3 linked regions of the Elephas maximus indicus genome follow. The protein of the gene in region 3 interacts with the protein of the main gene of each other region in a pairwise test. Links are inferred from orthologs where the notes say so. Each region holds a gene or a part of one and is shown on either strand. Other genes may lie near its edges.

Evidence for each region.
Region 1: the proteins of FAM168A (region 3) and OTUB2 interact in binary tests that used the Homo sapiens proteins (3 or more experiments, as listed by UniProt). The two-hybrid records come from large-scale screens. The link is inferred for Elephas maximus indicus from reciprocal best matches to the Homo sapiens genes FAM168A and OTUB2.
Region 2: the proteins of FAM168A (region 3) and SS18L1 interact in binary tests that used the Homo sapiens proteins (3 or more experiments, as listed by UniProt). The two-hybrid records come from large-scale screens. The link is inferred for Elephas maximus indicus from reciprocal best matches to the Homo sapiens genes FAM168A and SS18L1.

The regions. Positions count from the first base shown.
Region 1 is NC_064828.1:107,601,723-107,609,159, forward strand, and holds the start of OTUB2 (ubiquitin thioesterase OTUB2), read left to right. Parts: upstream 1-4,436; 5' UTR 4,437-4,627; coding exon 4,628-4,630; intron 4,631-7,437. UniProt on the Homo sapiens protein: Hydrolase that can remove conjugated ubiquitin from proteins in vitro and may therefore play an important regulatory role at the level of protein turnover by preventing degradation.
Region 2 is NC_064843.1:5,783,352-5,790,669, forward strand, and holds the start of SS18L1 (calcium-responsive transactivator), read right to left. Parts: upstream 3,001-7,318; 5' UTR 2,945-3,000; coding exon 2,876-2,944; intron 2,481-2,875; exon of another isoform or gene 1,596-2,480; intron 1-1,595. Other genes in the region: PSMA7 (proteasome subunit alpha type-7), read left to right, coding at 3,514-3,609, 7,110-7,236. UniProt on the Homo sapiens protein: Transcriptional activator which is required for calcium-dependent dendritic growth and branching in cortical neurons. Recruits CREB-binding protein (CREBBP) to nuclear bodies.
Region 3 is NC_064825.1:48,877,676-48,885,156, reverse strand, and holds the start of FAM168A (protein FAM168A), read right to left. Parts: upstream 3,082-7,481; 5' UTR 2,759-3,081; intron 1-2,758.

The sequences.
Region 1 (7,437 bases), on a different chromosome or scaffold from region 3:
AAATAGGTATAACAAAACATTTGCTATTGCAACTTTCTTCACATGTACAATTCAGCAACATTAATTATATTTATCATGTTGTTCAACCATCGCCATTACCCATCTCCAAATTTCACCATCACCCTTAACAGCAGCTCAGTACCTCGGAAACGTGCCTCCCCATCCCCCCACCCCGTTAACCACTAAGAAGCTTTAGTCTCTGCCTTTGTCTATTCTAGATATTTCAATATATGTGGGATCATCAATATTCTTCCTTTTGTGTCTGACTTGTTTCACTTAGCTAATGTTTCAAGGTTCGTGCACGTTGTAGCATGTATCAGATCTTCATTTCTCTTTATGGGTGAATAATCGTCCATTGTATGGATCTTCTACATTTTGTTTATCCATTCATCTGTTGATGGACACTTGGGTTGTTTTCTCCTTTTGTTGACTGTGAGTAATGCTGCGATGAATGTAGGTGTTCACAAGCCTTTCACAGGTGGAGTTGGGATGAGTGCGATGCGAAGGGAACAGAAAAACAGGACAAAGTCCCTATTTTTATAAATGCATGCATTAAGTTTTTGTTTGTTACTGGTTTATTCACAAATGGCCACATAGATTATCACCAAATCTGGCGGGTGGTTCTGGGAAGAACTGGCTGAAAATAAGACCTGGTAATATTCATAGCATTGACTGAGGAGGTTCAGGGGGCTCTCATTTTTTTTGCCTTTTGCACCAAGTGTTGTAGCACATCACTTAAAAATATTTCAAAAAGTTGATCAAAGACATTTACGCATTGACACATTGCTATCACATCTTTCACAGGATGCGGCAGGATGGGGGCTCCCCCTTTATTCCTGCAATGATTGATTCTCATTTTTCCACTTCCTGTAGTCTCCCACAAGAAATTATTCTAGGCAAAATGCTGCCATCTAGAAGATGAACAAATCTTCATCCTCCTTCAGCAAGGAGTAAAAAGTGAGAATTGTGAGAAAATTAAAAACCCAATCAGAGAGAACAACGGCCTGAGGTCCTCCTGGGAGAGGCCCAAACCCAAAAAATCCCAGTGCCCTCGCGTCGATTCTGACTCATAGCAACCCTATAGGACAGGCAGCTTTTTTAAATACAGACAAAATTGATGCCCTGGCTCAGAAAGGTGGGGTAACTTGCTCAAGGTTACAGAGCAAACAGGTGGCAGAGCCCAAGTCTGGCTGACCTTGAGGCTGGGGCTCTTTTCCTCATCAAAGCTTCTAGAACTTACCCTGCAAATACCTCTAATGGCAGAGGAGAGTGAATTCAGAACTTTAGGAGCTGGTATGCAGGCTTGACAAGGAACTCAGAATAACTTTGTGTTTCATTTGAAAGTTTTACGTAAGCAAATTTGCATTCTATTTTGTAAGACTTTGCTCTAGTGCCAAAATCATGTTTCCTTGAGTAAAATAGATAGCCCCGGAAGCTGCTCCATGTTTACACTGCACTACAGGTTCTGCCTGGCAGAGCTCCGTGGACCCCTGGGACCTTGAAGGAGACACCCAGCGCCCAGCACTTATACCCCCCCTTGCCATTTTTCATCATCTGTAAACACGGGTTCAAGTTTCAGGAAACTCTTACCGACCACTCCAAGGCCACGCTCCAAGGCCATGCTCTTCTGCGCTTTGTTCTCCAGGGTTCCAGAGAATTTCTAGGGACCACAAAACCCTAAACACTTCCAATTTTCAAGTCTTGGGGGGACAGTTGTTGGTGGGCTCATACAGGCTCTTGGCACTGCTCAGTCTACTTAGTCGAGGCCCCACTGTCTGGGATCCGGCTCTCCTACCCACCCAGCTGAGCAGGCAGGAACTTCACCATCACCCTAGGCCCTCTCTGTCCTGCCACCCCACACCCAGCCCACCAGCAAGTCCTGACCATGTCACCTCCTGCTCCTGGAAAGCATTCACTTCTCCCCATCTCCACAGTTCTCCCTAGTCCAGCCACTCTCATCTCTGACCTGCATGACGATCTGGTCTCCTGTGCCACCCAGGACTCCAAGGGGGGCTAACTCTAACTCTTATCCTTTCTGACCTTGGCCAGCAGTGACAAAGTACACTAACTGGTATGGGAACAAGTTTTCCAGACCAAGGTTCTAGGCTCTAATGTGAAGGGGTAAGGACAGTCTGGAGGACTCAGGTGGATATTCAGTGGGGCAGGCACTCTGCAAGGAAGTGAAGCGATTTACAACGTAGGAGACCTGGTCCTCTCCTAACTAGAGAGCCAGGAAGAAGCCAGATTTGTTACAGACTACATAAAGTACATTTTCCCCTGGCAGAGTGGTTAAGAGCTCGGCTGTTAACCAAAAGGTTGGCAGTTCGAATCCACCAGCCACTCCTTGGAAACCCCATGGGGCAGTTATATTCTGTCCTGTAGGGTAGCTATGAGTCAGAACGACGGCAGCTTTTTTATTCGAGCTTTGCTGAAACTCAAATGACTGAGCACATTTACAGAGATTCTAGATAAGACTGTGTTTTTGTTTTTAAAGACTTTGCTGCTAAAAATTTTTAACTGCCCAGATTGTCCAGCCTTCTCACTGAGTGAGGAACCAGAGGCCCAGAGAAGGCCTGCAGTTGCCTGGGGCCACACAGCAGGGACCATCAGAGCCCAAGGCCACTTGGGGACTCCAGTCCAGTGTTCCTTCCACAAAGCAATGACAGCAGGTTTGGAGCTGCCTTGGCCTGCGCTGGGAAGGACAGGGGGCTGAGGTCTCAGGGCTTAGTGTGGCCCAGCGCCAAGGGGCCTGGAAGCCTCAGCTCACTCGGCCTCCTCCTCCCAGAGACCTCAAAGGCCTCAGGGGCCAGACCCCAGACAAAGGCCTCCACAGCCAAGGCTCCTCACCTGCACCCCACATGAACCCCGAAGGGCCACACCTGGCTCAGTCACTCCCCCACCAGACAGCCCCACAGAACCCAAACAAGTCTGGAGGAAGCACTGGACAAGGCATCAGAAGTCCCAGGACACAACCCAGCCGGGCCACTTCCCAGCTGAGACATGCTGGGTCGGTCCTGTCACTTCTCTGAGCCTTGGCTTCCTCTGCCGCAAAAAACAAAGCAGAGACCCTCCAAAACAAGCAAGGGCATGGGAGTAGACAGCCCCTACAGTCCTGTGCACGGTTCCTTGGCAGAGCACATTCAAAACCAGCTCTGGAGTCAGGCTGCCTGGGATTGAATCCCACCTGGATGCTATGTGATCTTGGGCAAGGAGCTTAATCTGTCTGTGCCTCAGTTTCCTCATCTGTAAAACAGAGATAATAATAGACTTACCGTGGAAGTACAAATGGTTAAGTGCTCGACAACAATTCGAAGTTACCCAGAGGCACCTCAGAAGAAAGGCCTGGCGATCTGCTTCCGAAAGGCCACAGCCTTGAAAACCCCATGCAGCGGTTCCGCTTTGGACACATGGAGTTGCCGTGAGTCGGAATCAACTCAACAGCAACTAACGACAACAACCCCCAGAAACTAGCTGTGAGAATGAAGTAGGATAATACACGGTTTAACACTTAGGGCGCTCCCTGACACGTAGTAAGTGCTCAATAAAAGTTGGCTATTGTTTGGTCCGTGGTAGGTATGAGTCCACTGCTGCGGTTATCATTATTGTTTCTTGAGCCTCGGTTGGCCTCCTTTCCTCCCCTCCCCCAAGTAAATGACAAACACTTGAAGCCACAGGTGTTTGTCTACCTAAGAACCTACTCTGGTGCCTGGGGCTGGGAGTAGGGCGTGTGGAAGTGGACGACTCGGTGAACACTCAAGGGAGTATTCATGCTCGTAAAACGGGTGTACACCACGCGCTGGAGCCTCCACACGAAGCAGACCCCTCCAGAGGCCAGGGGTTGGTGAACGCATCTTTGGATGATAAACACGTTTGGAGTCTGGTAGTAATGAGCTTGTCCGCAGCCTGAGTCACCCAGACCCGGTTCACCGCCTGTGCCCCATATACATCCATACAATACCAGAACCACAAAGTCAACCAGCCGGGAAATTCATTCATTCAACAAGTTGTAATTGGATGCCTGGAAACCTACTAATTCATGAGCTGGAAGAAGGGGAGCTATTATTTAGAAGCTACACAGGGACAGGTGGTTAACTTAATGTTATTGGACACGTGTTTCCTCGTGCCTTGTCCTCTGATCTTGAGCAAACTATACTTATGTGACATTGTTTATGAATTTATGAGGGCCAGCTCATCTTTCAGAAGACCTCACTTCGCAGTTTTTGTCAAAAGTCCTTCAGCCTTTACAACCGAAGACCTGTCTTTCTAGGTTGGGCGAACTCCTTTGCTAGTTAAAAGCTTTCTGTGTGTTTAAAAGGGGGAGGGATCCTGTCAAATGAGCCATAAAGCATAGGCTGAAGAAACGTGAAGTCCCACCCACTTTCTGTGACGTCCTGAGCCCCGGTTTCTGATTGCCCGCTTCAGACGTCAATCGCGGGGCGTGTGTCTTGCTGGGACACAGTGGAGGTCTACCCTCTGGTTTGCGGGGCGGTCGGGTGTATTCTCCGCACACCCCCCCTCGCGCTCCAGGCCCTGTCGCCCGACCCAACCGTGGAGCTGGCTAGTGCCTCCGCCGCGCCCTCCCGCACCGGATCGCTCCTCGCTGGGGCGGGACCTGGCTCCTGTCACTATGGTCAGTGGTCTTGGGGGAAAAGGGGGAAGGGGGGTTGGGGAGGGGGCTCGGGGGGCGGGGTCGCCACCCGGGCGCATGTGCACTTGCGGGACTGGGTACCAGCGCGAGGCTCAGCCCCCACGTCGTCCTCGCGACGTTCGGACCCCCGGGGGTACAGAGTCCAGGCGGATGCCGGGGGACCCCGTCCTTCCTCGGACGCGCCCCGTTGTCCACTGCGGAGGCCCAGTGAAGGGGAGCCAGCCCGGCCCCGAGGACCCCCACCCTCAGCGGGTCCGTCCCGGGTGACCCCGAAGGTGTCGTTCTCATAGCACAAGGTAGGCGCCTCGGCGGAGCGGGGGCAGGGGACTCCAGGGCTAGGGATCGCCTCCTCTTCTGTATGTAGTCCCCCATCCGACAGCCCACGACCCCACACACCCCATGGCTCAGCCGCCAGAACCCCTCCCAGGCCCGCCCCCCCGAGGGTGGACCTAGGGCTTGCACTGGTGGCCGGCTTGCCTGTTCCCTGAGCGGCTGCACATTCGCTGGGGGTTGGGGCCCACGTGGAGAGGCTGCCTCAAGTTTTGAGACACTGAGTTAGGGTTCCAGGTGAAGCAAAGACTAGACTCAGATCCCGTTGGAGCACAAAGGACCCCAGAGACCCTCTGAGCCAGGCCCAAAAGTGGAAAAGTGGGAAAACTGAGGCCCAGGTGGGGAATGGGCTAGCACTGACTGCGATGGACCTAGAACTAAACCCAAGCCTCTGGACTCCCAGTCCAGTGTTCTCTGTGTTACATCAGGCCACTTGCCAGGTTGCAGGGGACTGGATAAGTTGGTCCCTAAAACCCTCCAACCCTGAGCCCCTCTGCTCCAGGGAACCTATACAGTACAAGGGCAGACAGCCTGGACTGGGGTCACACAGCCTGAGGTTCAAAGCTCGCCTCCACCCCTTAGTAACTGAGAGGCTTTGGTCAGCCATCTCCCTGCCCAGTGCTGTTTGGACCATCTGGATAATGGGCCGCTGGAGGACCACATGATGTGTGTGGCACGCTTGGCCCCAGGTAATTAGCTACATTCGGCTTTTCACAGGGCAGTTCTACTCTGTCCTATAGGGTCGCAGTGGTTTGGTGGGTTTCCTGTGCCAACAAAGTCCTGGAAATGAGTGTTCACAGGCACCTGGGTCACAGCCTGGTCATGACTTGCCATGTTCTGGTTGTGGCGTGGACAGGTGGCTGCCCTGGACAAACCAGCCTGCCACTGGGGAGGTACCAGCTTCCTACTTCCATACTGTGCCAAAGGGGTCACCTGGCTCTGCTGCTCCTGGAAGGGGACCCAGGTGTTTTCACCTCATCCACAGGAAGTGCTGGGAAGTGGACTAATGATGGGTTTGGCCACCCAGGATCTGAAGGCTGGCTGCCACCGAGGAACTCTCATGAGAGCGTGACAGGGACAATAGGAGCTGGGACCCCACCTTCTGCCTTGTGTGCTGCACAGCAAGGCCTCTGACACCACTCTGCCCACCTGGCCTAACTCAGGAGACTGGAAGTCAGAGGGCAGGTGGGGTCAAAGGCACAGCAGGGACACCTAATCCAGCTCCCCCCGCCGCCCCATCAGTGGAGGCTTGGGCTCCTCGGAGGTGGATAAAGTGGCTACCCGTTCAACAGCACAGCAGTCTCGGATCACGTGGGGTGGAGGCTGTGTTGGCCTGTTTGTGTCTACCCACGAAGCATTTATTGAGCATCTGCTGTGTACCAGGCACCATGCTGGGGCTGTGTGGCGGTCTTTTGTGTATGAGTCCACGTGGTATGGATGGGATGGAGTGTGCGTGTGTGATGGGCAGAGGAGTTTAACAAAATGTCTTTGGAAAATATAGCATCTTCTTTCCTTTCCCACTTCAAAGTCCCTTGGCTAAGCTTGAGGCAAGGTGCCAGTCAGAAGACACAAAGCCCCTTGGGAGGGCAGAAGAAGGGTGAGTGAGGGCCAGGCCTGGGGCTGTCACTGGCAGGGGCTGTAGACAGTGAGGGGTCTTGTCCTTGCGCAGGGTGCAGGTAATGCTTGTTGAATGAATAAGTGAGTATCAGGCATGGACAGCCAAACCACAGGTCCTCCTTTCATGTCTCAGACAAGCCCCTTGTAGGCACCCTCAAAGGCTGGGGCCCTGCCCTCTCTAGGACCTCGTTGTCTGGACAGACACACAGCAGCCCCTGACTATTGATCATGAACGAAGAGGCCTGACCAAGGGCTTTGGGAGCGCAGCAGGAAGCCAGTAGGAAGTGTTGGAGAAGGCTTCATGAGGAGGACTTTTGAGCTGGGCATTGAAGGATGTATAGGAGTGTGTAAGATGGATTTGGGGAAGACTGCACCCCAGCTCCGGACAGTATGCTTAAAGACCTGGAAACATGGTCAAGAGTGGGATATTCTGGGAAAGGCCAGCAGCCTGTGTGGATGCAGGGAGGGAGGGAAGAGGAATCTAGAAAAATATTAGGTGGGGTCAGAATGTGCCACACTGTGGAGTTTGGGTTTTATTCTGAAGATAAGGAGAATCATTAGAGATGTTTGATAAGTAAGAGACGGTTGACTTGGAAGACCTCTCTGGCAATGGACGTGGGGTTGGAGGTGGCCAGGCGGGAGTCAGAGACCAGCTCACCCATTTGTTCACTCATTCTCTTGGTATACGTTTTTGGAGCCTCACTGTGTGCCAGGCACCAGGGATCTGGCCACAACAGACAGATACAGCAAAGCCCCTGGCCTCATGGATTGACATCTAGTGGAGGGAGACAGACAGTATGCAGGTGGGCAAGTGAACCCATGGTCCAGATAATGCTCTGAAG
Region 2 (7,318 bases), on a different chromosome or scaffold from region 3:
TACCTGAGGCCCATCCGCCACCCAGCTGGCCATCCCTTCCCCACGTCCCCACCCCCTGCTCCTGCGCACGCAGGACACTGGAGCAGGGCTGGCCCACTCATGCTCTGGGATGCTGGGTAGGGCATCACCCTTTCTGGTCTTAAGAACAAAGAAACTGGGGAAGGAAAGGGGCCCAGGCAGCCTGACGGCGCCACCCCTGCAGCTCCTCACTGGCAAACAGCCCCAGGTCCCCACCTCGTCCCCCCCCTCCCGGGGCTGTGTACCGATCTCGCCCTGCATGTGCTGCTGGGACGCAGAGGGACAAGACCTCATCCCCAGCCTACAATCAAGAATGCCATACAAAGTGTAACAACAATGGCTGCATTTATTGAGCAACTACTGTGTGCTGAGCAGCAGGGAAGCACCAAGCAGGCCAGAGGAGCTTCGTGCCCAGGGCCCTTTCCTACATGCCCACACCTGGCCACACTGCTGCCCTCCCCAGAGTGCAGTGCTGGTCAACAGGACACACTGGTCCCAAGACGCAGGGGAGGCGCAGAGGACAGGTCCCAGCCACTCAGCCAGGCAGCTGAGTGCAGGGGCTGCTGGATTTGCTAAGGCCCACCAAAGTGGCACCCCGAGCTCAGCAGTTCTCACCCAAGCACTTTCTGATTGCTTCTCCCCCTGCACCATGTCCTCAGCACGGGGCCCAGGTCCCCAGGGCAGGCCAGCCTTTCCTGCCTTTCTGGACTGCTCCACGCAGTCCCTGCATGAGACGACCCATGACTCCCTCAAACTTCTAGACCCTCTTTTCATTTGTTTCTTGTCTCGAACACCCCCAAAACGCACACACCCACTTAACAAAAGCACTCCCACTGACAAAGCCAGTGTCATCCACCCTTAGTATGTCCTGAGCCCTCACCCTGCCCAGGAGCTCAGGAGACTGCAAACAGAAAGTAGCCCAGGAGCTCAAGCTATGGGTCAAACTGCTATATTGGCCATATGCCAACCAAAGAGAGAGAAGGCATCTGAGTAGGGCCTTGAAGGTGGCATAGGACTTTGCCTAACAGAATCCCACCGACAGATACGCTCTGAGAACAAGGCGTACACCTCCTGCTTCTTCGCCACCACCCTTGGTTTTCCTCAACGCCCCCAACGCATACCTACGACCACACATTGCAAACACCACACTCTGAATGCAAGGCACAGACTGTCACACCCCCCCAGGCAACCCAGTAAAACAGCTCTGGGGGCACGGACTCACTGTCAAAACGCACAGGCAGGAGGATGTGGACTGCCGACTGGACAGGTCAAGCCAGCTGCCAGCCCATTTTTGAGGGTCTGAAGGTAGGCTCTCCTCTTTCTGACCACTGTGTTTGGGGGTGGCCGCACTAACACACATGCTTGCCTGGAGAAGTTGGGGGGCAGGAAGCCAAAGATGGAATGACGATTGTGCTTATCAGAGATAAGCTCCCCAAAACCAGGGTGCCAGGAGCCCCTCTCAACTGCCAAAACATGCCCAGCCCTCTGCCTAGCCAAGTGTCCCAAGGTCAGTGTCATGGTTGGAGAGGGCCCTGGAGCTCCACTGTGTGGGTTCGACTCCCAGCTCTACAACTTACCAGGCAGGCACTTAACCTCTCTATGCCTCAGCTTCCTTACCTATAAAGCAGAAGAGATAGTAAGCACCTGGAAGAACAGAACGAATAAAGACTTGGACAACTGTTAGAACCTGGCTGGTACGCAATAAGCACTACAGTAATGTTTATTACACAATTAAAACGCCACACTCTGAGATCTGCATTTCTACTGCTTCTCAATCTGCTGAGGCTCCTTGTTTGTTAAAATCATTGAACACCTAACGCCAGCTAATGTAGTAACGTTTATACGACGACAAGTCACAGACTGAGGGCCACCTCCACGAGGACCCAGCAGATTACCAAAGAACACAGGGCACAGTCAGCAAAGTGCACCCCGAAGGAAAATTGGACGCTCCTGGGAACCCGCAGGAAGAATGATAACGGAATCAAAAGTTCAGAAAAGAAAACGATGTAGCTACAAATGACGTTGTGGAGATTAAAGCGGAATGCCTGCCTCGGATTCCCTTCTGAGCGAGTCTTCTAATAAGAAACAATAAGACATCCCAAGTCTCCCTTTCAAAACTACAGGCTTTTGTCTAAAAAGCATTTGTTAAACACGTTCCTAAGCCTAGATCAATGATATCCCTAGAAAACTGCAGTGCCAAGCTTGTAAAACGAGAAGGAACGCTGTGAGGCAAATCTACAAAGTTTCTGTTAGCTGAAAAAGCAGGCCAGGGTGTCACGCTAAAAAGAATGTTACATGCGAGTACGAGGTGGTGGCGCACTGGTGAGCAAGTGGACTTCACGCGCGGGGCTTCGGGGACGAGATCCCCACACTTTGCTCCGACCCTTCCTGGCTCCAAGCGTCAGCACCTTTGTGAAAAGGCTGCGTGCCGCCCCAGCCATGCACCCCAGGCCCACCCGGCCCCTCTCCACTCGCCAACGTGCGAGCAGAAGCAAGTGGCCGCCGCCGCTTCGCCACCCAGGTTGCAACCGAGCGCGATCAGCCCTGCTCCTGCCCGGCCCCGAGACACCCTGTCCCCAGCCCCGCGGGCGGCGGCACCCTGTCCCCGGCACCCTGTCCCCGGCATGACCCGGGCTGGCTCCGGCAAGCACCGCGGACACCGGCTGCGTCCTGGGGAACCGGGCACCCCCGCACCCACCCGGGCCGGCGCGCCCCCCACAAAGTTGGCGCAGGCGGCGCGCCTCGGCGGTCGCACCCGAGAGCGTTGCGAGGGGCGCGGGGGGCGGCCTCGGTGCGGCAGCGCCCGCGCTTTGTTCCGGCCCTGCGCCCCCCGCGCCCGCCCCGGCCCGCGGCCCACCTTCTGGATGGTCTGCTGCGTGACCTCGCCTTTGCCTCTCGGTCGGGCGGACGCGAAGGCCACGGACATGGTGGCAGAGGTTCAGCCCTGGCTCATGGGGCTTATTCTCTGGCCGCGCGCGGCGTCCGAGGACGCTCTGTCTCCGCAGCGGTGGGGGCGGGGCGGGCGGGGGGCGCCGCGCGGTGGGCTCGCCCGGGCCGCCGCCTCCGCCTCGTACCCCGGCCTGCCCGTCCACCGCCCCGCGCGCCGCCGATCCTATCTCAGCGCCCCGCGCCGTGCGCTCCGCCGCCTGTCCCGCGCGCCGCACCCGCCGTCGCCGCTCTCGCCGCGCTCCCCCGCGCCCGCCGTGGTGCGCTCCGGACGCCCTCCCACGCCTTACGCCAGCAGCGTAGGCCTCCGTCGGCAGCGTAGCCGTGCGATGGCGCCGTAAGCCTCCGTCGGCGGGTCAGCCGAGCAGCGCAGTCGTAGGCTTCCGTCGGCGGCGTAGCCATGCGTCGGCAGCGTAGGCCGTAGCCCGGCGTGGTGCGTCGGCCGCAGCGGCGCATGAGTGTGCGCTTTTGAGGACGCGCGCGGGCGGTCTCCCCTACCTGCTGGGGCGCAGCGGGCAGTCTCCGGAGCAGGCCGTGCCAGGCCCGGCCATGAGCTACGACCGCGCTATCACCGTCTTCTCGCCCGACGGCCACCTCTTCCAAGTGGAGTACGCACAGGAGGCCGTAAAGAAGGGCTCCACCGCGGTAAGACCGGCCGGGTCGAGGCCTGCGCGAGCCCGGGGATCGAGGCGGAAGTGGGCCGCGCGGGGGCCGGGGCTCCTGGCGGTTTTCGCGGAGGGTGCGTGCCCCGGACCCCGAAGGGAGAACGAGCAGGGCCGCGCCCTGGGCCGGGGTCGACGGCAGGTGTGCGCCCCGAAACCCGCGGGGAGGGTCAGTGGGCCGAGCCGTGGGCCGGGAATTTCCCGGGGCGTGCGCGCCCGGAGCCCGCCGGGATGGGGCTGGGGGATCCCAGGAAGCCTACGGGGGAGCGCAGGGAGGATTCCCGGGGAGGGCTGCGCTTCGGGCTGTGCCGGGGTCCCGGAAGGGTGGTGCTCGGGAAGCTGCCGTGTGTCCCGCTGCCTGCGTCCTGGAGGCAGGCGCGGCGGGTGCGGTGGTCCGGGGCGCGGCGGCGGGTGCTGGGGGCTCGGGAAGCGGCGCGTTCTCGTGCGGGCGGCGGCGCTTTCCCCGGTACGCGCCTTAAACCTTGGCGCGGCGCGGCAGCTCTGCCTTCGCTGCCCTGCTTTGGTCGAGCCGCTGTGCTGATCCCTCTTTGTATTCGGGGGCGTGTGTGGTGGGCTCGCTGTTTTAACTGAGCATAGTGGCGTAGTGGTTAATTGCTACGGCTGCTAACCAAAAGGTCGGCAGTTCAAGTCCACCAGGTGCTCCTTGGAAACTCAATGGGGCAGTTCTACTCTGTCCTATAGAGTCGCTATGAGTCGGAATCGACTCGAGAGCAGTGGGTTTGGTTTTAGGTTGTTTTAGTGGTAGGAGTGGAGCGCACGGAAGCAACGACGCCGCTGTTCGAAAGGAAAACGGAGGAGGAACCGCGTTTGTGATTTGAGGCCTTGGGCCTGCGGTGTCAGTGGCTTTCTGCTGTTTGGGTGGAGAGCGAGCCAGGACTGAGCGGCTTGTTTATTTCTCAGAGGTTGAGTAGGCCGGGGACGTACAGCGTTGGTAACTGAAAGAAATATCGGCAGATGTTTGCCCACGGTTTTTGACAGGCGTTTTCACAAACAGCGGAGTTCCGGGAAGGGGGTGGAAACTTAAGGAGGGTTGCTTATCTTTCATTGCAGCGGAGTGCCCCCCTGAGCCCCGCGCGATGCTGGCAGTGTGACGGCCATCTTGGCGTGGTCACCATTGCACTGGGCGGGACTGCGGCGGGGGTGTGGCTGGCCCACGCACTGCAGGGGCGCAGATGGGCTCTCAGGGCTGGCTCCTGCAGGCTTCCTTGGTGCGCTGGAGCAACGATACTCAGCCAGCTCCGAGTTATGGGGGTCTCCTCCACTAGGGAAATGAGTTGTCTCCAAAGGACCTGGTGGGCTTGGAGAACAAAAAGCTGCTGGCTCCCAGTGTCAGCAATGCAGGGCCTGGGCAGGTGCGTCCCTGGATCTGACCATTAGGCCACAGAAGCCCGACCCAATCTGAGTCAGCCCGCGCCTCAGCTTACACCACGCTGGGCCTCAGCTCACACCACACAGGGCCGTTTTGATGTGCAGGGAGCTTAGAGACAGCACGTGACGCTGCCGTCCGTTTGTCACTGCAAATTCTCTGCCAGTTTTTCACTTCAAGCCCAGCACTGGGGAGGTTGGAGCTGCAGAGCAGAGGCAACCCGTGCGGTGCTATGCGTTTCCTTTTCATTTCTTGAAGTTTTAGCTGTTTAGAAATGAAGGCCCCAAATCTTACCTGTTGGCTTAGCTCCTGCAAACCAGTCCATTTCTCTGGGAGTGGTCAGGTAGTTCTGAACTGGGGGCACTTTTTCCTCCGGAGGCATTTGGCAATTTTAAGACACATTTTTGGTATCTAAATTTTTAAGGAGGTGGAGGGGTACTATCATCCAGTGGGTAGAGGCCAGGGGTGCTGCTAATCTCCCTACAGTGCCCGCACAGCTGCCCACAGAGTCATCTAGCCAGAGCGTCAGCAGTGCTGGGTGTTGGGAGGCTCCGCTCAGAAATAACCAGGGCTGTTATCTCTCTGAGAGTTGTCCCGTTGTGTTTGCTTCTGTCTCAGTGGGGACGGAACTGAGGTTCTCTCTTTGGAACAATGGCCACATCATCTCCTGTCTACCCTCCCAACAACAGCTGACACCTTTGTCCCCAATGGCAAGTCCTCACACAGCCAGGTGCATTAGCACACGGCACTGCTGGGACAGGCACAATGGGTTGTTCGTAATTTCACAACTTAGAAACGTTCGTTTCAGAATACCTAACTTCACTGTTAAGGAGCACTTGTGGTATGATGGTTAAACGCTCAGCGGCTATCCAAGAGGTAGTGGCTTGAACCCACCAGCGGTTGCACAGGAGAGAGATCTGGCAATCTGCTCCTGTAAAGATCACAGCCTAGGAAACTATGGGGCAAGTCTACTCTGTCTCATGGGGTCACTATAAGTCAGAATTGACTTGATGGCACCCAACGACATTAAGGGCAACTGTTTAACTCATTAGATTTAAATAACGCATATGCTAATTATATAGTAATTTAGTTACGTTATGATTGAACTCTCAGTATTTTAAAAGCATGGCGTCGGGCATTTTAGGTTAGAGTACCTGGATAACCTCTGTTTAGGTGCTGTCGAGTCCATCCTGACTCATAGCGACCCCATGTGCAACAGAACAAAACACTACTCGGTCCTCCGACATCCTTGCGATCACTGCTTTGTTTGAGCTCACTGTTGCAGCCACTGAGTCAGTCCATCTCATTGAGAGTCATCCTCTTTCTCACTGATCTCTACTTTACCAAACACGATGTCCCTGTCCAGGGGCTGGTCCTTTCTGATAATATGTCCAATGTAAGTGAAATGAACTCTTGCCATCCTCGCTTCCGAGGAGCACTCTGGCTGTACTTTCTCTAAGACAGATCTGTTCTGCCTCCTGGCAGTCCACGGTATATTCGTTATTCTTTGCCAACACCATAATTCAAGGGCATCAGTTCTTCTTCCGTCTTCCTTATTCATTGTCCAGCTTTTGGATCCGTATGAGGCGATTGAAAACACCATGACTTGGATCAGGCGCACCTTAGTCCTCAAAGTGACCTCTTTGATTTTTAACACTTTGAAGAGGTCTTTGCATCCGATTTGCCCAATACAATGCGTCTTTTGATTTCCTGACTGCTGCTTCCATGGGTGTTGATTGTGGATCCAAGTAAAATAAAATCCTTGACAACTTCAGTCTTTTCCCCCTTTATTGTGATGTTTCTTACTGGTCCAGTTGTGAGGATTTTTGTCTTCTTTGTGTTAAAGTGTAATCCATCCGGAAGGCTGTACCTTCTGCTCCTCATCAGTAAGGGCTTCAAGTCCTCTTCACTTTCAGCTAGTTCTGCCAATAAAGAGCCGATACCCAGGGTTGGCAGGGTGTGTTGCTGACTGTAGTGGCGGGCACATGGAGGAGGGCAGGCTGTGCCTGGCACACCTGGTGAGGTGAGGGCTGCTGCTTCGCCTGGTGGCAGAACCTCAGTCACTGTATTAAGCGGTTTGTTGATTTTTATTGAAGGTTGGCGTACGAGGAAGAGAAATTGTTGTTCTTGGAGTGGAAAAGAAATCTGTGGCCAAACTGCAGGATGAGAGAACGGTGCGGAAGATCTGTGCTTTGGATGACAATGTCTGCATGGCGTTTGCAGGTACCAGTCTCAGGACAGGGCTTTGTTCCTTGAGGTCCAGCAAAGAACAGAACTTCTAAGGGCAGCGGCGGGGGGGAAAGGC
Region 3 (7,481 bases):
ATTACTTAGGTTACACTCTCACTGAATTACAGGTAACAGCTCAAACTTGATTTTCATTGTATTACAGAAAGCTTCCTCATAACAAAACACTTTCAATTCCAAGGGTAAGTCCAACCTTCCATCATTCTGCCCATTTAGGAACTACAACAAAAAAAAAACAGATTCTGAATATTGGATATCTTTGTGTGATCAACTGTGAAAGCCATGGAAATAATCTGTTTGCTAGCTAAAATCTGAAGCTTGAACAAAGACAAAATTATTTTGATCCTATTGGTGCCAATTTTATCCTCTTTACACCTCTCCCCGTTTTTTCTCAGCCCAACTCTAATCAACAGCCACTTCAGGCTTAACATATCACAGTTAATGCAATTAAGTCCAAAAAACTATTTCCCTAAAGATGTTTCCTCCATTCACACCCCTCTCTACCTTCCATCTTCACCATTCTGCCAAGAGAATAAACATATCGCTAAGCTTTAAAACAAATTTCTGATGAATAGATAATGTTTCTGTGGTTAATGCAATGTGCCCATATCAACACCATCCCCTAAAACGTAAGATAAAAATGACTCGACACGCTTATTTATCTACATCTGACAGGTTTCTAATCACCTAAAATCCTTTAGGAGAAAATCCAATCTACAGAAATACAGTCCAGTTATTTTTAATCTTATCAAGTAACATCAAAAGAGAATCAAATGAAAAACTCCATCAGTACCAAACCATCCCACCAATGAATATTTATGACATTTCCATACTTCCTGTCTTCTCTCTGTTTACATAAAGCAGTGGTGCCAAGACTCATCTCAAGATTATTAGCCTGCAATACAATGATGGGCCTAATTGCCTTGCAAACCAGGACACCAATAAATGGAGTCTTCAAGCAATCAATTTCAAGGGGTGGGGGGTGGGGGGGGAAGGCCCAAGCTCTTTCTGCATACTTGCACAGACATTGCCTGCCTAGGAAATAAATCTGGCCTCATATTTTTCAGTCTCATTCATCAGTTCTCAAGCAAAGAACACTCCCTTAACGATCTCAATCTCATCAAACCTATTTAAATTCCAAACTCCAGGACTAGTTTTTAAGTGCACCAGGGAAAGGCAAAGGCGGAGACATCATACAGAAAGATATCTACCACATTCCATTTTTATCTTCTCCCATCTTCAGTTTGGGCGTGGATTTTCCCAACTTTCTTTTTATGATATATAAATAACAGAAAGAAGATGCCTTCCCTTCCTTAATTCTACCCTAACTGAAATCTTTATTAACTTTACTGGCCTCTGGGTTGACTTCACTTCTAAGTGTGATACTGATGTAAACAAAACAAACAAAAAAATCAAACAGCTTAAGACATCCTCTAGGAAAGATAGTCTTTAAAATACCTTTTCTGTCCCCTGCCAAGTCCCCTCTTAACAACCCTCTGATTACTGTCCCTCCTCCAGTCACAGCCACAAGAGCTATCCATTTAAGTGTTCCAACCCCTAACCCTCTTGTGTCTCTTGGAGGCCACCTCAATCCCTCCCCCTCCAGAATCACCCAACCCACCTCATCCCAGCACTGCTCACTGCGTCCTCCATCCCTACAACTCCTGGTCTCCCACCCCCTAAATCTGATGGACACTCCTTAAATTTCCCCTCTGCCACTTCACTATCATTAGCCACCTCTCCGGTCTTACCAGCTTGTCTCAGACATTCCTTCTTCAAAACTCCCTCTGACACCTTGACCAAAGGATGTCTTCTTCAACATACCATCCCCCAACCCTGTTCACCACCTGCCACTATTCTTTCAGTGAGTCCAGCCCAGCAGCTTCTTCTGTGCCCTCTGCCTCAACCCTGCACCTAGGGAGCCATCATGCCTCTGCCAGCGATTCTAAAATCACCCTAAATTCCATTCTACTGTGCTCCCCCCTCTCAGTTTCAATCCTTGTCAGCCCACTTCGGGCCTAACTCCAACTCCCCCCCTCCTCCCTGCCCCCCCCCCCCGCGAGCTCACCATCATACTCCCCTCATTGGAAGTCCCACCCCCTATTTCACCCTCATCAGCCCATCCCGGGAAAACCCCAAATTCCACCCCCTCTGCTCTATCCCAACCTCTGCTATTCCATAAGAAAAAAAAAAAGGCTCCATAAATTCCACATACCCCAGATAACAAACACCCACTTAAGGCTTAGGTCCCAATCCATGCCAAACCCCTCATCCCCAGCTCCTACCATCTCCATCAGCCTGCCCCGGGTCCATCCCAAATTCCACCCTCCGGAATCAACACCCCCCCACCAGGGTCCTATCCCAACCCTGTACATCCCACTCTCCATTGAAAGCATCCCCCTATCTCCTACCCCAGCTCAGATCCCAAGCTGTCAACTGTTCCAGGCCAACCCCAAATCCACCACCCTCATTCAGTCCCCTCCCCCATTAAAAGCCAACCCACTCCAGTCTTATCTTCCATCTCGCCCCCGAGACCATCCCAAATTCCACCTTGACCCCCCACTCCACACTCCTGTCCTAGTTCTGGTCATTCCCCATTAAAAGTCTCCCTTCCCTTGTCGCCCCCCAACCTGCTTGGGTCCCACCCTCACCCCACCCCCAGCCCGCGCCTGGGCAAGTCTCCCCCTCCAGCCTGCCGTTCCACAGCGACCTTAGCTCCCTCCCCCAAACCCACCCAGGGGCTCCGCAGCCCCCACTCTCATTATCCCCAGTAACACACCAGCCCAGACTCAGGACAAGCGGACCAGGTGGGGGGGGGAGTGGAGGATTTCCTCACCGGCGAGAGACTGCAAGCGAAAACGGCGGCTGCTGAAGCGGCGATACCCTTGTCTTCTCTGGCGGCTGCAGCGGTGACGCTCTCACTCCCTCGCCCGTCTGTGGGGTGGCCGATGGCGCGCAGGGACTGGGAGCCTCCTCCTCTTCAGCAACTCGGCTCTGAATCCTCTGCAGTAGCGGCGGAGGAGACCGACGGGTTGGGGGAGGGGACGCTCGGATGCAGGCGAAAGAGGAGGGGGCGGAGGACCGCTGAGAAGGGTGGGGAAGGAGGAGCCGGCGCGGCGCCACGACACGTCCCACCGCCTCAGTGTGCCAGGACCACAACTCCCGGCATGCCCTGCTTCACCTGCACCTACCCCCGCGCACGAAGTGAGGAGGCACTGTGTTTTCCCGGTCCGGAACAATGGAATAAAGTCAACCATCCGCGTGTGGCTATTGTAGACTCAAAGACCACATGTGAGGGAAGTCAGGGTGTCCGCAGCCCCATCGCCAAGTGGCGAGGCTCCTGGCGTCTCCACACGCCTCCCAACACACACACACACACACAAAAAAGCCTCTCGCCGGACTACATTTCCCAGCGTTCTCACGCCCTCCGGCCCGCTTTCCGTACCAGTCTCAGACCCTGTACAACTACAGTTCCCGAGGAGTGTGGTCACTGCGAAATGCTGGGAGATGCAGTTCTTAGTTCTTCCTCCATGTTAAGAGCAAGAAGTGAAAGAGGAAAAAGGGAAGGACCGTGCCAACCCACCGAGGACAGGTCTAAGTGGGCTAAATCACCTGTGAGTCTGTACTTGCCATCTCTGTTTCCACTGTCTCACAGCAGAACAAATGCAGCAGCTTCCTCACTGATCTCCCTGCAAATCTGACGACGGTTTGGCAATTTGAATACAAAAGTAAAAAGGGCATACTTCTTGACCCAGTTCCATTACATCTAAGAATTTACCTTAAAATTGTCATCGAGCCACTAAATTGTACATTTAAAAAATGGTTAAAATGGTAAATGTTAAGTATATTGTACCACAAAAAAAAATTGAAACAATTTGGAAAAGATGAATGCACAAAATTGTTCTATGAGGTTGTGGATTATAGAGGGGAGGAAGGTAAATGTCCATCAACAGGGAGCTGGTTAAATAAATTATGATATATACCTACAAGGCAGTACTAAGTAGCCATTAAAAATGATAATATCTGTTTATTGGCATGAAAGGTTATCCACAATTTATCCTTGAGGAAAAAATTGATTACAGAGTAGCATGTTTCGGATGGTCCAATTTATGTGAAGTCTAAAACAATATTCTATAAGCACAGAGAGATTTTACTGGAGGCTCCCTTTGTTGGAGGAAAGGGTATCAGATTTCAAGTAATTCTTATTTTCATGTTGTCTGATTTGTTTAAAAGGAGCACATACCATATTTTTGAAACCTTAAGACTGTATTCAGTTTCCAAATCCAACAACCTCTATGCTGCCTGAAAGCTTTGCATGGCTCCCCATTGCTGTCAGTAGTGCTCCAGGACTATTGCCTTTTTTTTTTTTTTTTTTTTTTCTTTTCTTTTCTCTCTCTCTGTGAGCTCCGCAGTTCATGATTAAAGCCAGTAGTGTTGGCCACTTACAATTCACAAAAGAACGTTAAATTAGTAGGAAGAATTTTCTCACTTTTCAATGCCTCTTGTCAAAATTTTCCTCCTTTTGGCACCTGTGTGTCCATCTACCCTAGAATACCGTATCAGATGATCTAATTTAGCACAAATTGTATATTTACAGTATTTTTTATTGTATATGTCATTCTTTGGTGTTCTGCAAGGAACACAAGGCCATTCAAGCTGCACCACTGAGCCCACTGGAGAATCGCAGGCCTGTAGGAGGAAGTCCAGGATATCTAGCTCAGAAGATAGCTTAGTCCAAAATCCTACTGCAACCTATTCCTCCAGCTTCACCCGATAGTCAGTTCCTTTTCTGAGAATAGTGAGAAAAGTACTTATGACATGATGGCTATGTGACACGCAAGTCCCTTTCCCTCTCCAAGTATTGCATTGATGGTCCCCTCTTCTAAACCCTGTTTTCACTTCTTTTCCCCACTTCACCCAGTTGGCAGAAAGTGGAAGGCTGCATGGTCAAATTTAGAAGGGTTCTGGTCTTTCCAGGAGTAAAGCATTATCTGAGTTAGATATGAAGAAGCTGAATGAACTGGGAGGAGCCCTAGTGGCACAAATGCTTAACCATTCAGCTGCTAGCCAAAAGTTGGTGGTTCGAACCCACACAGCACCTCTGCAGAAGAAAGAGCTAGCAATCTATTTCTGCAGAGATTACAGCCCAGAAAACCTTACAACTCTACTATTGCATGGGGTTGCTATGAGTTGGAATTGACTCAATGACACCCAACAACAGCTATAGTGGACTAGGAATCTTGGTAAACAAATAATTTATAAGGATCAGCACAAAGCTGGTTCCTATGAGTTGGAGGTTAAAGATGTCCCAAATGTCTAACTTTTCCAAGCTGCTGTATTACTCCATTATTTCTAACATTGAACTACTCCCTCTTGGGTCAGCAATCTCACTCTGTCTTTGGGTTCCCTGATTTCTTGCAACATCTGACAGAACTCACAGACCGTATAGAGGAAATGGCTCACAAGATTTTGGAGGCTGCCAAATCCCAAATTCGTAGGTTAGGCATAGACTTTCCCCTGGCCTTCAGTCTCTGCTCAGAGGCACTCAGCTTTCTTGCCCTGTGAGCCAGGATGTCCACTGTGCCATCTCCTGCGGGTCCCTCTTTCTTCAGTGGTGGTGGGCTCTCCTCTTTGTTCTAGAATTTGGTCTCTTTTAAGGCAGAACTGACCAATCACCTCGTTAGGCCACAATTACCCTATCACACAATCACCTGGGTGGGAGTTACAAGACCATGGCTATTAAGGCCACACACAAAAGTAATTAATTTACCACAGGCTACCCCCTGGCTTTTCTAGTCATGATTCTTTCATATTTGGAGGATAACTTCTCCCTCCCAATCATTTTACCTCTCCAAAACAGTCATTAACAATTAGTCCTTCAACAGGGCAAAGAGTCCAAAGTGTAAGTTTACTCAGGTACCAGCCATCAAGGTCTGCTGCAGGTTTTCATCTGTTCTGGTCAGGTGCTCCAAAAGTCATCTAGTCTTCACACATTCTGGTCTCTGATAAAATTCAACTGAGAGAAGATTATTTATTCCCTTGCTCTGAGTCTCTCTCAAGATATCAGTATAGTGTTAGGTTTCCCCTGCTGCATAACCCATTTATTCATTCCTTTACCTTCAGCTATTATTTCTCCTTCCTTCTATTTGTCATTTATTTTTACCCAAACTTTTCCACCTTGGGAAGGAACAGTAGGTTCAGCTGCTGTGCTAGTCCAGACTGCAGGTAGCAAGACCAATCTAGCAAGTGCTTCTCCCTCAGTCCACTCCCGTTTATGTTGGATAAGGTTACATAGGTACAACACTAGTGGACTATCTTGCCCACGAGGCAATACAGCAATATTCACTGTCAACCCCAATTTTGCCAGATGGGGGGAAAGTATAATCCATCCCTTCAGACCCTTGGGAATTCTGACATACATGTTTAGGAATATAGTTACAGTCTCTTGCTTAAGGATCACCCCTGCTTTTGGCACCCACAGCTGCATCCCTGGTCCTGGAACCACAACATTCGGCAGGCAAAAAAGAAGAACTGTACAGTGGCACCAGCATCCTCTCCCACCCTGTCTTCCCCAAATCCCCCAGAGAAGCTTAGGAGTCTGTCCTGTGGTGATTCTCCCTTTGTCCCCCTCATGCTGAGTATGATGACACACTCATGAAGGCATGTGACCCAGCCCTTCATGCCTTTGGATAACAAATGTTTCCATTGGCCATTCCAGTTCTCTATCAAACCATTACTGTGAGAGTGGTATGCAACATGGTGTGTCCATTTAATATGATGTTTCTTGGCCCGTTACTCCACCCTGTGGGCTGTAAAGTGTGTTCCTTGGTCTGAAGAAATACAACTTGGTGGCCCAAATTGGTACAGTATCTTTCGCTCCAATCCCTTAATGGTATTTTTGGCATTTGCATCTGTCGCGGGATATCCAAAGCCCAGTCCAGAGTAAGTATTCCTGTGGGAACCCATTTGTAGCAACTTCGTGCCACTGGCATCATTGGTCGAATATAGTCAACTTGCCAGCTATGTGCAGGGCCTTCTCCTCGGGGAATCTGCCCTATAGCCATCTGGAACCTCTGTCTTCCTTGCTGGCAGACAGAGCAGTCCTTATTTTAGCATTTTGTGCTTCAGAGGGTGCAAGGGGAATGTGTCTAGATTCGGCCCATCTTGCATTCCTGCAGTACCCCTATGTCTGCTCATTTCATGGGCCCAATTGGCCACTTCAAGTGAGAATACCAACTTGCTGATTCCACCTGCTGATTCCAGTCACCTTCTGATCCAGGAAGGGGGTTTTTGTGATGGACATTGACATAGCCTACTCTGATGTGCCCTCTACATTCCCAGAGTGCTTTCTGTAGGCTCATGCCCCGCACAGGTGTCCCCTTAATAGTCCAATATTCCATAGCCCATTTGCCTGACCATATAGCTAGGCCATTGGCCACTGCCCACGAAATCGGTAAAAATCCAAATATATGTGCTCTCACCATTGCAGAATTCTTCCATCACTGCTAGGAAGACAACATGCAGTTTGGCCCATTGAGCTGACCTGTTCTTACCTTGTT